3 linked regions of the Xenopus tropicalis genome follow. The protein of the gene in region 1 binds, or shares a complex with, the protein of each later gene. Links are inferred from orthologs where the notes say so. Each region holds a gene or a part of one and is shown on either strand. Other genes may lie near its edges.

Evidence for each region. Proteins that work in one complex are often made in the same cells at the same time.
Region 2: the proteins of tgfb1 (region 1) and nrros are in contact, whole or in part, in a cryo-EM structure (PDB 7Y1R), measured with the Homo sapiens proteins. The link is inferred for Xenopus tropicalis from reciprocal best matches to the Homo sapiens genes TGFB1 and NRROS. Residues at the interface, in NP_000651.3 of Homo sapiens: Leu30, Ser31, Thr32, Cys33, Thr35; in NP_940967.1 of Homo sapiens: Phe194, Glu195, Ile196, Glu197, Gly198, Gly199, Phe201, Leu210, Leu212, Pro218, Cys219, Ile220, Val221, Asp222, Phe223, Gly224, Leu225.
Region 3: the proteins of tgfb1 (region 1) and lrrc32.1 are in contact, whole or in part, in a cryo-EM structure (PDB 8VSC), measured with the Homo sapiens proteins. The link is inferred for Xenopus tropicalis from reciprocal best matches to the Homo sapiens genes TGFB1 and LRRC32. Residues at the interface, in NP_000651.3 of Homo sapiens: Leu30, Ser31, Thr32, Cys33, Lys34, Pro325, Pro327, Tyr328, Ile329, Trp330, Ser331, Leu332, Thr334, Gln335, Tyr336, Val339, Leu342, His346, Ala353, Pro354; in NP_001122394.1 of Homo sapiens: Ser135, Tyr137, Glu158, Ser160, Thr162, Val184, Met186, Asp187, Ile188, Glu189, Asp190, Phe193, Leu202, Leu204, Arg206, Asn207, Ser208, Leu209, Thr210, Cys211, Ile212, Ser213, Asp214, Phe215, Ser216, Leu217, Leu223, Leu225, Cys227, Ser229.

Annotation. Positions count from the first base shown.
Region 1 is NC_030684.2:79,305,860-79,311,460, reverse strand, and holds the start of tgfb1 (transforming growth factor beta-1 proprotein), read left to right. Parts: upstream 1-1,829; 5' UTR 1,830-2,348; coding exon 2,349-2,682; intron 2,683-5,601. UniProt on the Homo sapiens protein: Transforming growth factor beta-1 proprotein: Precursor of the Latency-associated peptide (LAP) and Transforming growth factor beta-1 (TGF-beta-1) chains, which constitute the regulatory and active subunit of TGF-beta-1, respectively.
Region 2 is NC_030681.2:129,828,382-129,834,044, reverse strand, and holds the start of nrros (negative regulator of reactive oxygen species precursor), read left to right. Parts: upstream 1-1,883; 5' UTR 1,884-2,140; intron 2,141-4,431; 5' UTR 4,432-4,447; coding exon 4,448-4,555; intron 4,556-4,684; coding exon 4,685-5,663. UniProt on the Homo sapiens protein: Key regulator of transforming growth factor beta-1 (TGFB1) specifically required for microglia function in the nervous system.
Region 3 is NC_030678.2:173,452,238-173,457,984, reverse strand, and holds the start of lrrc32.1 (transforming growth factor beta activator LRRC32), read left to right. Parts: upstream 1-1,967; 5' UTR 1,968-2,367; intron 2,368-5,747.

The DNA.
Region 1 (5,601 bases):
GCGATCTTGGGTGCTGCAGCAGGACAATGACTCAAAACACACCAGCAAATCCACCTCTGAATGGCTGAAGAAAAACAAAATGAAGACTTTGGAGTGGCCTAGTCAAAGTCCTGACCTGAATCCTATTGAGATGTTGTGGCATGACCTTAAAAAGGCGGTTCATGCGAGAAAACCCTCAAACAAAGCTGAATTACAACAATTCTGCAAAGATGAGTGGGCCAAAATTCCTCCAGAGCGCTGTAAAAGACTCGTTGCAAGTTATCGCAAATGCTTGATTGCAGTTATTGCTGCTAAGGGTGGCCCAACCAGTTATTAGGTTCAGGGGGCAATTACTTTTTCACACAGGGCCATGTAGGTTTGGATTTTTTTTCTCTCTAAATAATAAAAACCCTAATTTAAAAACTGCATTTTGTGTTTACTTGTGTTATCTTTGACTAATAGTTAAATGTGTTTGATGAGCAGAAACATTTAAGTGTGACAAACATGCAAAAGAATAAGAAATCAGGAAGGGGGCAAATAGTTTTTCACACCACTGTACATTCATAAAGGTAGTATTTTCCTAGCATCCTCCAAACACAGTCTGTCCGACTTTCAGATAGTAAAATGCCATTTATTACTCTGTTGGATACATTTTGCCAGACCCTAGACACATGTGCCCCCTCACCTCCCCCCTCTCCACTACCCCACACTATTTCTAAAATCACCTCCTCTGTAGTTGCCGCTGTTATTTTACATTTGGATAAACCTTTTACCTGTATACAAGCTGTTTGGGAAGAGATTGCTCTGATTATTTGATATAGTGCAGCACTATCTCTTCTTATACAGAAAGCACATCTGAGTAAAGTAGCAGGTAGAGGATTTAGGGCATGGAGATAAGTAGGAAATATGTAATTTTACAAACGTGCAGACATTTTTATTAATATTGCAACCTTCTAATAATGCACCCAAGGCTCCTGCCTCCCCTTCCTACACCTAATTTAGGCATTGCTATTTGCTATATTTCCTACTATTTTATCTTATAATTTTACAGTATAATTTGCTTAGTATATAATCTCCTTATGAATTCTCATTCTAGAGCTTCATATAAGCTTCCATTTTGCTACCCCCTTTGCACTGACCTAAACCCGCCCATACCCAACCCAAGACCAACCCTTGTATAATCCTGCCCACCACTGTATATACTCCAGCTTTTATTGCTTACATGTACATCACATACATAGCAGTACTGCAAATAGCTGGCCTATTGAATGTAGCAACTGGGACAGCTACACATTGCAGTCTGTCTGTTTTGGTACTACAGCAGAGCAGGCATACCTTCAACTGTTTTCACATATCTAATTTCTGAAGGAAATATTTAATGTGGAGTCTGTCATTACCTATACTTGTATTGTCTGCACAATGTTGTCTGTAACTTAAACATTTGGAGTTGTTTCTGTTACCAATAGAAAATATATTCACAACTTCTGTTTAGGGTAAGTTTTAAGAATACTAAGACTCTGCTCTGTATGTAACCTAAAGATTGTAGAAACAAAGCCAGTATTTTTGCAGAAACAATGTTAGAAATAGAATAGAAAAGGAGGTGCTGGATGACTACATTGCTGTAGTTCTGCTGGTCCAAACACCATCACTAATTCTTTTTAAAGTTTATATAGATTTAGTTAATGCCTTATATTTAAAGATGAAACCAATAATTAGCTCAGGCATGAAAGATTTGTTTGAGAGGGAGGGAAAAAGGATAGGGCTTACTATGTAGTGCTCTCCACCCCAAAGCGTAAGAGCATTTCCCTAAACCATTTCAGTGTGTGTGTGTTGAGAGTATTTTATCTCCCATATCCTGGGTGGAGCTTTAAGTTACAGCACACAGGAGGAAGCCAAGAGGGGGACGGTGAGAATCATGTTCTAGCAAGCAGGGTTACAAGGGCCGTCAAATTACATTTAGAGGGGGGGAGTTGACTGCATACAAGGCACATATTCTATAAGCTCTGGAAGCCAACCAGGATCTCCCACACTGCTCAATGCCACTGCTTCATGAAGACGGGACAGCAACTTTCAGAACTGCTTTCAGCTTTTCTCACCAAGAGACCGTTCCATCTCTTTAACATAGTCACACAGTGTTCCAGTTGTAATTATGTTTTCATTTAATGGTGGCAGCAAAACCTCTCCTCTTTATTTTTAGGCCGGCACATGGTACTCTGAGCGCAGCACATACAATGAATTAGGGCGTTTAAACTGACTGTAAGTCAATCTGAGCTGGTGCTGAGACTGCTGAAGGACATATAAATAAAAGGAAGCCATCCTAAAAACCTACAATCCAGAGCTACTTGACTTTTGTCGTGGAACACTGCATTATGGAGGTTCTTTGGATGCTGCCGGTGCTGTTGGTGCTGCATCTTTCCACTTTAACTATGTCCATGTCTACCTGTAAGACTGTGGATATGGAAGAAGTCAGAAAGAGAAGAATTGAAGCCATCAGGGGGCAAATTCTCAGCAAACTAAAACTGGACAGAACACCAGATGTAGACAGTGAGAACATGACAGTGCCGAGTGAAGCCATCTCCCTTTACAATAGCACCTTGGAGGTGATCAGAGAAAGAGCAGCCAAAGAAGAAGCTCCTGTGTGGCAAGAGCACAACATACAGGATTATTACGCAAAACAAGTTCACAGGTTCGAAAGCATAAATGGTGAGTGATTTAAAGCTACGTTTGAAATTCTAAATAATGTCCCAGCATTAGTAGTTTATATGGCTAAGCAGAAATACCAAAGAAGTTTTCCATCTCTTGTTGAACTATAACTCAAAGTGTTCTGATGTACTGAGGACTCAAGAACTGATTTATGGTAATGCCAAAGGTATTTCTTTTCTGCAGGTAAAGTGTTGTCAATCCGTAGAAACATGATAGATTGCCAGCCTTTTAAAGTGAAATCTTCTAAGATCATGACAAACAAGCAATATTATCACCCAAAAATGCAAATGCCCTTGTCCCCATGTTTTCTAGTGATAGTTCTGCATGTGTGCCATATTCACTACAGAATGTTGTGTGTGACATTACCATTACATTAGGATACTGACAGTTATTAGTTTACTGAGTGCCTAACATCTATTACAATTCTGTTTCTGTAAAGAAGTGAGGGCTTACTTACCAAAAACATAGGTGCTAATTTACATTAATGCAGTTCCCAGTAGCAACTAGGTATTTGCTTTTATTTCCCAGGGTGCTAATCGCAACTGCACTGGTGCAATTTAGCAACTTTGAATTTATAAATCAGCCATGTGGTTTCTTGTAGCTTTTAGGTTTTCCCCACTCTCGTTTCAGATTGGTGAGCTCATTTATGAACAGATAATTCCCAGGCATACCAGTCACTTTGCTTTTACTTGACTTGATGTGAATGGGGGTAGGCTGGAGGGCATCATTACTTGTGACTTGAGAGATATTCCCTTGGTGCCCTTCTAACATTGAGCTTTGTGGTTAGTGTGCAAGGCCAGCACAATGTGCCATAGGTAGAGCACTCAGGTTGCTAGTGTTGCTCCTGCATAGCTATGCAGGCAAGTTAATAAATTATTCCAGATCAAATGTTGTATTTATTAACTTGTCCACAAAATCTTAAGGGGTTGCAACTTAGTAGGAGCAAACTGCACCCATCATAAATAATTGAGCTGCTTTGAGCTCTATTTCCTTTCCTGATTCCTTTCAGTATCTTTTTTGTGCAATGCCTTGCAATATGATACTATGAAAGAAAAAGCCAGGTAATGAGAACACCTTATGCCTGTCAGTTCAGATGAACACTGGTAACAAAATAGGGAAGATGCTGTCACCTATTCTGTGACAATACAATAGCTAGAGGGCAGCTTAGCAGCTAGTAATTTCAAGGATGCTTTTCTGAGCAGAGATAATTCATTATTTACTGTAGCTTAAGAGACTCCACTTAATAACAGGAATGAGAACAATTATGGTCTTAGCGGAATGAATTCTGCACTTTCAGCTATATTATTATTCAGGATTGCACCCAGAGGGAACTGGACATGTGTATAGACATGCATGAGCACATACAACACTCAAAAGACATATACTTGGACATGGATATAGCCTGAATAGAAAGATATAAAATGTAAAGAATAAGAGTGTAACTGAAACTGCACAGTCAGCCTGTTTTTGGTTGTTGGGGTCAGTGACTCCAGCATTAGCATAGCATTTTCAGTACCAGGCCAAAAAGACACAGAATTGGACACCTAAAATTTATTTGTAAATGAAGTTGAGGACTAGCTGAGAAATGGCTTAGAATACTGTGCATGAAACCTGTTGAGTATTTCGGTTGCCCTGTATCTAAAGGATTGCTGGCTCCAATTTGCTTTGGGCTCCCCACATTCTAGCTTCCTAGGTGACCTGTTTCAGCTCTTGTCTTGTTCTTATAGAAATTGGCTTTATTCCATTGTAAGGAGCAGTGTAACTTTAAAAAACTTGCTGTAAAAATTTAGGAAATTCAACCAAATTATTCACAGTTACACAGTCGCAGGCCAGTCTGTTTCTCTGCTTCTCTTTGCCTTTGCCCAGTTTCCTCCTTAGCTTTTCCCTACTATTATCCCACTGACCCTTCAGTGTATCACTACCACTGTCTTCATCACTCTTTGTATATGTTTATTCCTTTCATTTTCCTCCTACCCCTTCTGTTTCTCTAGAAGGTGGTTCCATTCCTCCCACTCCCACTGTTTCCTGCTCCCCCTGATTTTATCACTTCTTTTCCTTTGCTTCTCTCTGCTACTGTCCATTACTGCCCATTCTTTTCTGCTACATTTTCCTGACACTTCACTAATGCTCCTCTCACATATCCTGGTTATTCCTATAACTTTCTTCTCTAACCTGACAGTGCTGTTTCCATTGATAGTTAACTGTCCGCCAGTCTTTCTTTGCTCTTCTTCCTTCTAGAAAAAACAGTAATTGTCAATGACAAAAACCCTGAGGGGTGCAAAGTATATGTATGTTTCCCCTTTACCTAATTTTAATAATATTATGAACGGTAACATTAAGGGCCAAGCTACATGAAAGCTTTGGTTGGATCTTACAGTGACAGATCACATTCTAAATACCAGATGTAGTTGTACATGTCTAAAATAATGTAATTGATACTAAAATCAGATCTGTAAATTACATGAAAGCTCTGCCCCCTCCGACCCAACATGACTGTTGAACTGATGCATTTTTATCCAAGTATTTATGGGGGATAGACTTTTGTGTATCATTGGCATACATTTATTTTTGGATGTAGATGCATGGAAAACAAAAAAACATCTAAATATATCTGATCAGTCTCATTACAGCAGGGAGGGTCAGATGTTGTAGCATCCCATAAGATGTCATGCAGTTGTGTGCAGATGCCTGATTCCTTTATGTGGGACAGATGAGTCTATTCGGCCAATGTCCTTCATGTAGTTTGACCCTTACATTTTGATAGAACATTGAAACTACAAGGCTGAAATATAAGAACTGTAATTAATTATCTTGCCATGGCTATGGCTTTGTGTCAGCAGTTTGGTTAGGACCAATTCTTGTTTCAGCAGAGCAATACCTTATTCACAACCAAGATCAAAGTAGAAGACCTTGACTGGC
Region 2 (5,663 bases), on another chromosome or scaffold:
ATTAGTTAAAAAAATGTGGTACAGATGTAGGGAGCTCTACTGATTAGTCCTGCTAAAGTCGACCCAAAACATTGGATTGGCATTGGCATTAGAAGGATCTGATGTAAGAGGGGGTCACTCTCTCTATAGGGAAGAAAGTAAGGCCCTGTTGCAGATTGGGCATCTGAATGAGGCACAGTGTTGGGCCTTCCCCCTCCTGCCCTCATAAATACACAGGAACAGGGGAAAGCAGTGTGCAAAGAAACTGCTGATTGCAGTCATTGCATTGCAGAGCCCCCTAGGCAAGGTGTGGATAGTGAATTTCTGGCATTTTCAGTGAGGCTAGACGTACAAGATGGAGCCAGAGTTTGGGAAATACACAAACAGCATCAAATTCCGCATTTGTCTATTGGCACTTGGTCTCCTGCTTGTGTATAGAATGTTGGGTAAAAGTCACAGACAAGCTGCGAAACATAAGCATAAGAAATATAAACTTGTCTTCCGTTGTCACCGAGATGCAGATGCAATTGCAATTGTAAGCAGTATCTGTTTTTCTGCCCATGCACTGTATATTGGAAATGTGCTTATGATTTTCTTCCATTATGCAACAAAAAATAACTGTTTTCGGGTGGTAGTTCTCGTTAATTACTATAATATAAATACATTTCTATTAGTCCATTTTTAGGGATTAGAAAATTAAACTTGTATTATTGTAGGACTAGAATGACATGCATTACTCCTAACACGCTAATTAAAATGACATCTTCTTCTGCGCTAAAATTATATCTGAAAAATGTTTACCTACAATGGTTCCACCTTTCAATCTATGGCAATGTTGATGCCTGCAACACAGTTTAGACAGGCATTACACACAATTCTCTGTGTCACCCTCACCATAGTGCCGGAGGAAAGGCTTTCCAACCTGATACTTTTACATATGTTCCCCCAGGGTCTGTCTTTCGTAGATGGAAAAGGAGTTTGTATGTTCTCCCCATATCTGTGTGGGTTTGCTCCAGGCATTCTGGTTCCCTCCGACACTCTCAATACATTCAGGCAGGTTAATTGTATTCTAATAAATTGGAGCAACTGTATGTAAATGTGATAGGTACCGTATCCATCGGGGCAAGAGCTGATGTGAATGAAGTATAATCTGTTGGCGCTATATAAATACCAAGTAATAAAAAAGATGGGGATGGGGAAACCTCCACCCTCCTAAGGATTTTTTGAATACTTAAAGGACTAAATACTCATCTTCAGCCTTTTCTGCTTTCCAGTGGTCCACTCTTATTTAAGTCCAGCATAAAAGTATAAAGTATGAAAGAATAAGGTCCAGGCATGAACATTTGGGATCACTTATTAGGTGGTGGTCCTACTGCATAAATGTATGTGTATGTAGTAAATAATGTTCACACCAGCCCCACTTGCATTTTAAACAATAACTGAATCATTTCACCATGATAAACTTGCATATAAAATAAATGCCTTATAAATTTGTGGTCATATCTTGCCTTTCTCCCTGCCCCCCCCCCCCCCCCAAGAAAGAGAGTTTGGGATGTTACTAAACTGGAATTGAGATGAAATAAAGTAAAAGAAGAACTATCAGAAACTGATGTACAGACTGGTGACTACTCTGAAGGGTTTTTTATCTCTCTGTGCTGGCCCAGCGCTTCATGTGACTTTAGCTTCCGTTATTTCCTTCCGCAAGATCTAAAATAACCTCTAGAAGGAAGAAAAAAAGAGAGAGAAGAAGCTGCTGAGTTGTTTCAGGATGCACATGTGCCCAGCTCACCGCACTGACACTGCGCCTCACATCCAAGTGACCGGCTTCATTTCTTAATGTGAGTTGTGAGCCTACGCTGACTTTTGGTTAGTCACCTGCACTGCGGCTTCACCATGTGCACCTCATCTGCCCTTCTAGTCATTGCTAGTTTGATTTTACAAACAGGTTTCCGTTCTGACCTAGTGACCCAGCTGAAATGTATTTGAGTTATTACTGCGCCCTTTCTCTTTGATCGCCATGCAACCTTGGCTCATATTGGTGACTTTATTTTTCAGAGAATCCTATGTTTCTTTCCAGTGTTGGTACAAAACGTAAAGTCCTCAATTTTGGATCCTGTCAGCTGAAGTGATACCCATGATGCTATGCGCTCATCTAAGTGCGGTAAGTGGCTCTGTTTCTGGTTGTGGGTTCTTTTGAGTGTGGGCTAGAAAACCCCAAAAGATGCACTAACACAATACTTTCACATACCGTACAGCCACTGGCACGGAATAGCATCACTTCTAACATGGATTGCTGAAAGCACAATCCTTTTCTTTGCAAAATGTCTGCAGTGTCCCAACACATTATAGCAATAAACATCCACTGCTAGTTTGAGATGAGACAAAGAGGGTATCGGCTATAGGCCCCTAGCCTCAGCCTCAAAATACCCAGATTAATTAACAAATTATTACAATTTGTAATACACAATGTTTTTTAGCAATTCCATAAAGCCATTTAACCTGGAATCTGAAGACTGTGATGGGGGTGAGAGGAATTATAGTACAATAGATCCAAGTCAGAAACCCCATATTAAGTATTTAGCCCCAGCCTCAACATAGACATGGAATAAGGAGTGATTGACAATGCAAATAAGCTGGGGACCCCATCTGAGAGGAAAAAGAAGGGATGTCCAGCTTGTATCCCTTCTACAGTTATTAACTACAACTCCCAGAGAGATGCTCAATTGCTCTTTAAAAACAGCTGGTGGCCTGCAGGTTGGACATTCTTGGTGTATATACTGAAAATATATAATAGTGAGTACACAATATAATATATCCTCACCCTCACTAATTATAAACACACACACACATATATATATATATATATATATATACATATATATAGTATACTGTAAACTACACCTCAATATATAGCTGCTTTAATAGCAGGACATTTCTTTAAAAATGCAGAATATAACGCAAGTTTAATAGTAAGCCATATATATTGACTATATGGAAGAGGTTAAATGGACATGGGAAACTGGTTGAGGCATCTGGCATATCTGGAGAGTGTCTTGGTGTGACTAGGGCAGATCAGGGGTATGGCCTAAATTGTCCCTCTTTTTCAAATATAAATGTTGGAGTAAATCAATATTCACCTTCATGGGGTAGAACTCACACACACCAGCACTCACTTTCTAGCTTACCAACTCTCTGATTTGTCACAGACAACTAATCTCCTCATGTGTCAGGGCCCTTAGGGCAGTCGCACACGAGGAGATTAGTCGCCCCGCGATAAATCTTCGTTACTGCGGGAGACTAATCTCCCTGCCATGCCATTCCACTGGCAAGAATGTCAATCTCCAAGTGTGATGGCATACGCTTCGGTTTCCCGAAGTTGCGCAAAGTTTCCTTGAGAGGCAACTTCGGGCGTCTTTGTGAAACCAAAGCGACACGTATGCCATCCCACCAGCGATTTACATTCTTGCTGGTGGGATGTCAAGGAGATTAGTCGCCCGCAGTAATGAAGATTTAACACGGGCGACTAATCTCTACTTGTACCACTGCCCTTAGAGGTAATACTGTGAGAGCTGATAAACTAGAGTTTGAGTGCTGGTGTGTACTACACCATAAAGGTAAATATTGATTTGCTACATTTGAAAAAAAGGGACAATTTTAGGCCATGGCCCTGATCTGCCTTAGTCACACCCACACACTCTCCAGATATCCCAAATGCCCCGACCAATTTCTGGTAAGCCCACCCCTTTTGATGTCCATTACTTGAGACAATTGGGAGGTATGGATTTGTGCCTGTATCTATTTAGGAGAAAATGTGTAGCATTTCACGTGTCCTTCAAATATTGGGATAGTTTCAATTAAATACAGGGAAATGTTATTCTCTATAATACACAGGTTTAGAAAAGGGCTGACATTAATATCTTTATATAGTACATCTGGAGATCACAAAATCTTTGGAAAGCAGGGGGGTAATAACCTTTCTAGGCACATTTAGATTTTATTAGGCTTACACAAACATTTGGATATCAACTGTGCATTTTAGTACAACAACCTAAAACAAAGATTGAAATTGTAGTATAAAAATACTCAAAATAACAAACTGGACAATGTTCTGACCATAAATTGGCAGACAACAATCGTACGAAAGTTATGTCCCAGAAATATATTGTAGGTCAGCCAAGGAGACTGTCAGATACACAAAACATGCACAAATATTATTGTTATCTGGCCAAAATTTTCTAACCTGATCTGATTAATTAAACAACCAATTGCTATTACATAAAAAATGTTGAGAGGATAATTTGGAGTTCACACACAGTCCGAAAATCGCACAAAACTACATTTTGTAGGATTATATTGGTGCGTGTATGGCCAGCTTTACAGTGCTGTGGGTGAAGCAGGAATCATTACAGCTGAAATTAAATCACATGACTGTATTTTCTGTGTTTCCTTTAGGAACGATTTTAATGCTATGGCCAATGTGTTCTTTTGGCTTCTATTGGCTTTCATGTACTTAACATTACAATGGAAATATAATGGTGCTGAAGGCAAATTGTCTACCGAAAGTGGCTGCAAACTGGTAAGTTTTACAATGTATTTGCCTTCTAATAAACATTTTTACAGAACAGAAGAAGATTTATCTTGCACTCTATCCATACATTCTCTTTCAGACCTGCTTGCATTTGGTAACATGCTGTTATTGTTTCAGTTTTACAGGGTTGCGGATTGTAGCCATTTACAGCTTTTGTCAGTTCCTCAGAACCTACCTACTGATATTCAAGAGCTGCTTCTAGATTTCAATCAAATAAGGTTTCTGCATAAAAACTCCTTTCTAAGATATCATGACTTAACAAACCTTAGCTTGCGATCTAATCGAATGGAATTTGTGGAGCCAGGAGCCTTTAATGGCATTAGGAGCCTGAAAGTCCTCTCACTACAGAACAACACTATATCTATGGAATATGAATTAACATCCGCAGCTTTAAGACTGACCCCATCCCTTAAAGAACTGGATTTGTCTAGGAATATGCTTACAATGGATATGGTATCAGTTCTTCATCAGAACTTAACATCCCTTGAAAGGCTTTTTTTGGATAACAATATTATCATGCGCTTGGACCAAACTGTGTTTGAGGGCCTAGTTCATCTGAAGGAGTTAAGTTTGCAGTGGAACTACATTTATGAAATTGAAGATGGTACATTTGAGGGACTTGTGAAATTGAAGAAACTAGATTTGGCTTATAACCTATTGCCATGCATTGGCGACTTTAGACTAACACAAATTCAGATGCTCAATTTAAGCTTCAACAACCTTGAATGGTTCCAATCACAAGAGACTGATGTTGAGTTCCACCTGGAGATATTGGACATTTCCAACAACCAGCTGCTCTTCTTCCCACTTTTGCCCAGGCAACATCGTCTGCATACGTTGCTGCTCTCCAATAACAGGATGAGGTTCTATGGTGACATTTTTGGTACAAACACCTCCAGGGCTGATTTTCTGATTGTAGAAAATAACATCACATCTGTCACTACAGTTGACCTTTGGAGTGATGATATACACAGCAATCTCTCCACATTACATTACCTTGATATGAGCCATAACCAATTTGCTTTCTTTCCTCATGGATTTTTTTCCAACATGAGCTCATTGGCATATTTAAAACTTAACTGGAACTGTTTACAGG
Region 3 (5,747 bases), on another chromosome or scaffold:
CAAACCCCTACTGGGGCTGCAGCAGCCGGGGCTCCCATAGGGCACAAACCCAACCCCGGGTCTGAGTATTTGTGCTGCCGCTGCCGTGGAGATGCACTTTAACCATGTACCGTCCCATGGATATTGGGTTTTCTCTGTGTAGAGTGTAAGCTCTTTTGGGCAGGGCTCCCTTCCCCTCCTGTATCGGTTACTGATTGCTTTATATGTTACTCTGTATGCCCAATGTATGAAATGCAGTAATTCCTTGTAGAGTGTAAGCTCTTTTGGGCAGGGCTCCCTTCCCCTCCTGTATCGGTTACTGATTGCTTTATATGTTACTCTGTATGCCCAATGTATGAAATGCAGTAATTCCTTGTAGAGTGTAAGCTCTTTTGGGCAGGGCTCTCTTCCCCTCCTGTATCGGTTACTGATTGCTTTATATGTTACTCTGTATGCCCAATGTATGAAATGCAGTAATTCCTTGTAGAGTGTAAGCTCTTTTGGGCAGGGCTCCCTTCCTCTCCTGTATCGGTTACTGATTGCTGTATATGTTACTCTGTATGCCCAATGTATGGAACCCACTTATTGTACAGCGCTGCGGGATATGTTGGCGCTTTATAAATAAATGTTAATAATAATAATAATAATAATATTTCCAGTATTTAATTTCTCTCTGGTTTCCAGGACGCTGGACCCTAGCAACATAAACACATAAGCCAGCTCAAAATAAAACTGGAAAGTCTGAGAGCAGATCAAGGGGAAATGATTTTTCTCAATTTTATAATGTCTTTTTTGACATGTAAAGGGGTAAATTCACTTTTAGTAGGATGTAGGTGAGTGATATTCTGAGATAATTTGCAATTGGTCTTCATTTTTTTTGATTATTGGTGGTTTTTGAAATATTTAGCTTTTTGTTCACCAGTACTCTAATATAGAATTTTAGCAGCTCTCTGGTTGCTAGGGATCAAAATACCCTAACGACCAGCCAGTAGGTTAAATATAAAACTGAAATATGAATGGGGGAGGGGCTGAATAGAAAGATAAGGAATAAAAAGTAACAATAACAATAAAACTGGAGACTCACAGAGCAATAGGGTTTGGCTGCCGGGGTCAGTGACCCCCATTTGAAAGCAGAAGAAGAAGGCAAATAATTCAAAAACAATAAAAGATAAAAAATGAAGACCAATTGAAAAGTTCCTAAGAACTGACCATTCTATAACATACTAAAAGTTAACTCAAAGGTGAATGAACCCCAAAAAATTAACTGAAGGAAACCTGGTCAAAAAAAGTCCTCTGGGCACTTGTGAACTTTCATTTATTTTTTTCTATTATTAGTGGTTTCTGAGACATTAGCACTTTTAGACTGCTAATAACAGGCTTAAGGCTTAACAGCCCTCTTTAAAGTATCAGCAACCCTCAGGGTCGGACCGGGCAAGTGGGACACTGGGAAAAAATCCAGTGGACCTTGCCAACCCAGAACCAATCCCCACTGGGAAGCATCAGCGCCTTACCACTAACTTGTGCCAAGGGGGGGGGGGGGGGGGGGGGTGGTTGGGAGGCAGGGCCCCCGGGGGGCCCATAGGGTGGCAGCCCAGTTTCTGTATTCAGTTAATCCTAGCGTCACTGACTCTCAGATGATCCAAACTCCTGATATTAGCAGTCTAAAACTGCAAAGTCCCAGAAACCACTTCAATTAGAAAATGAATACTAGCAGCCCGTGTAAGTGAACTTTATTTAATTGTTTGTGTTTAGATTGGCCCCGTGCTGCTCCCCCATAGGTGCCCAGCCCCAGACATTAACCCTATCAATCCCTCATTCCCAGGCTCCTCCTTCCCAACCTCCCCTGAGGGGTCACCTAAAGAATAGCTTATCATTGGCTCATCTTTGTAGGGTTAAAACATGGCCGCATCTTGATCAGCAGCAGCCCTGGGCCAGTGATTGGCTAACAGGGGGGATCAGCAGTGCCTTGCTGCCTGTTGCTTTCTGCTCTGCCGGTTCTGACTTTAAACAATGTAGCAGAAGTTGGACCTCCTCCAGCCCAGACTCCATTTCTTGCTCTGCCTTTTGTGTTTCTTTACATGTCAGTTACACTATTCAGAACCGCCAGTGCATAGAGCAGTAAGGGAGTAGGAAACGGGCCGGTACTGAGTGTTTCCTTTTCTTTCTTCTTCAAAGAGTCCATATGATTGGCTAATTGGGATCCGCTCTCTTAATTGGGGATTTTGCTTTAATCTTGAACTTCCACCCCCGGAACAAAACTGCATTTATGTTTATTAATCAGCCTCTGACAACATTTAGTCTCGGCTAATGGCTCTCAGTCCATCAACTGCCGGTACTGACTAATGGCAGCTCATCTGCACCGACTGAACTCCCTCAGATTAAAGACAAGTGAGTATATAGCCTATTGTGTGCCCAGAGCATTCCTTCTCTGTATATTTGTATTTATACATATGGGTAGGAGGTGCCATAGTGTTTCCCTTAGACAGTACAGTATGGGGGTACAGCTTATTGTGTGCCCAGAACATTCCTTCTCTGTATATTTGTATTTATACATATGGGTAGGGGGTGCCATAGTGTTTCCCTTAGACAGTACAGTATGGGGGTACAGCTTATTGTGTGCCCAGAACATTCCTTCTCTGTATATTTGTATTTATACATATGGGTAGGAGGTGCCATAGTGTTTCCCTTAGACAGTACAGTATGGGGGTACAGCTTATTGTGTGCCCAGAACATTCCCTCTCTGTATATTTGTATTTATACATATGGGTAGGGGGTGCCATAGTGTTTCCCTTAGACAGTACAGTATGGGGGTACAGCTTATTGTGTGCCCAGAGCATTCCTTCTCTGTATATTTGTATTTATACATATGGGTAGGAGGTGCCATAGTGTTTCTCTTAGACAGTACAGTATGGGGGTACAGCTTATTGTGTGCCCAGAACATTCCTTCTCTGTATATTTGTATTTATACATATGGGTAGGGGGTGCCATAGTGTTTCCCTTAGACAGTACAGTATGGGGGTACAGCTTATTGTGAGCCCAGAAAATTCCTTCTCTGTATATTTGTATTTATACATATGGGTAGGGGGTGCCATAGTGTTTCCCTTAGACAGTACAGTATGGGGGTACAGCTTATTGTGTGCCCAGAGCATTCCTTCTCTGTATATTTGTATTTATACATATGGGTAGGAGGTGCCATAGTGTTTCTCTTAGACAGTACAGTATGGGGGTACAGCTTATTGTGTGCCCAGAACATTCCTTCTCTGTATATTTGTATTTATACATATGGGTAGGGGTGCCATAGTGTTTCCCTTAGACAGTACAGTATGGGGGTACAGCTTATTGTGAGCCCAGAAAATTCCTTCTCTGTATATTTGTATTTATACATATGGGTAGGGGGTGCCATAGTGTTTCCCTTAGACAGTACAGTATGGGGGTACAGCTTATTGTGTGCCCAGAACATTCCTTCTCTGTATATTTGTATTTATACATATGGGTAGGAGGTGCCATAGTGTTTCCCTTAGACAGTACAGTATGGGGGTACAGCTTATTGTGTGCCCAGAGCATTTCTTCTCTGTATATTTGTATTTATACATATGGGTAGGAGGTGCCATAGTGTTTCCCTTAGACAGTACAGTATGGGGGTACAGCTTATTGTGTGCCCAGAACATTCCTTCTCTGTATATTTGTATTTATACATATGGGTAGGGGGTGCCATAGTGTTTCCCTTAGACAGTACAGTATGGGGGTACAGCTTATTGTGTGCCCAGAGCCTTCCTTCCCTGCACCTCAAAAATCACATTTTTTTATATTCATTTTTGCAAATTGAACTTTTTAACAAAATTAATGATCCTGGACCCTCTCTGACTTCTATAGACGTAAACTTAATATTGGATTTTAATAATAAATAAATTCAATTTTTAAAAAGTAAAATGTTTTATTAGAAAATGACCAAACGATATATTTTTTTAGTTACAGAATAATTCAAACTACGAATGCAGGAAAGCCTTCCTGGTTGCTAGGGTAATTTGGACCCTAGCAACCAGATCGCTGCTAAAATTCCAAACTAAAGAACAAAAAGCTAAATAATTCAAAAACCATAAGTCGTAAAAAGTAATGACCAACTGCAAATGATCTCAGAATAATTTAAAGATAAACAACTCATTTACATGTCAAAAAAAAATTGAGAAAATTAATTTCCCCTCGACCTTTGTTTAATCTGCTCTCGGAGGTTTCAGTTTTATTTTGAGCTTCTGTCTGTCTGTAAAATGTCTTGGGGACACGTGGGGCCCCATAGAGTAACTGCCGTATAGAAAGAGATGATTTCACTGGGGTATCTAGGGCCCCCCTCCAGTCCCGAACCCACCCCTCCAGTGCAGTGCGTCTCTCTTATTTGGCTATTGGGGGATGAGGGAGGAGCAAGAGAAAGAGGGGGCGGGGCTAGGTCAGTGGGGCCCACAAGGGCCGGGGCCAACTGGGTGTTTTCACCATGTCTCGCTGGTCCAGTCCGACCCCGGACTCCTACCAACTCAGCAATACTCAGGTTTTCTCCCCAATTCTCACTCTGGTTTGGCCCCCCAACCCCTGCTCTGTGCCCACCTAGATGCCCCCCCCCGTGCAGTGCGTCTCTCTTATTTGGCTATTGGGGGATGAGGGAGGAGCAAGGGAGAGAGAGGGGAGTGGCTCGAGGTCAGTGGGGCCCACAAGGGCCGGGGCCAACTGGGTGTTTTCCTGGTGTCTCGCTGGTCCAGTCCAACCCCGGACTCCTACCAACTCAGCAATTGGTTTTCTCCCCAATTCTCACTCTGGTTTGGCCCCCCAACCCCTGCTCTATGCCCACCTAGATGCTCCCCCCCCCCCGCAGTGCGTCTCTCTTATTTGGCTATTGGGGGATGAGGGAGGAGCAAGAAAGAGAGGGGGTGGGGCTAGATCAGTGGGGCCCACAAGGGCCGGGCCCACTGGGTGTTTTCCCGGTGTCTCGTTGGTCCAGTCCGACCCCGGACTCCTACCAACTCAGCAATAGGTTTTCTCCCCAATTCTCACTCTGGTTTGGCCCCCCAACCCCTGCTCTGTGCCCACCTAGATGGGCCCCCCCGCCGTGCAGTGCGTCTCTCTTATTTGGCTATTGGGGGATGAGGGAGGAGCAAGAGAGAGAGGGGGTGGGGCTAGATCAGTGGGGCCCACAAGGGCCGGGGCCCGCTGGGTGTTTTCCCGGTGTCTCGCTGGTCCAGTCCGACCCCGGACTCCTACCAAATCAGCAATAGGTTTTCTCCCCAATTCTCACTCTTGTTTGGCCCCCCAACCCCTGCTCTGTGCCCACCTAGATGGGGCCCACCCCCCACAGTTTAGGGGCCGCTGCCAAAGGAAGTTGCGCAATGTTCGGATATACGGACAATGGAATTTTAGTAACAGATACAATTCTGAGAAATTAACCCTCCGAGTGCCGCTTGCAATGGTTTTGGGTCGAAAGGCAAAGGGAACACAGAGTCCGAAGAAATTAAAGGGTTAACAGCAAGGCAAATCCAGGAGGGATGGGACTGAGGGAGAATGGGGCGCAGTTCTATAGCAACGCGTATTTGGGTTAATCAGATCTGACTCCCCGAGTTCCCCCCGGTGCCTGACATCGCTGCCGAAGTATGTACTGAATGTAACCCCCATGGGCAACAGTAAGGCTGCATATGTTTGGCCCAGAATATTCATTTATTCCAGCGGCTGCGAGAACAAAGAGACCCATCAGTGATGATTCTGGCGCCAACCAGAACCTATAGGGT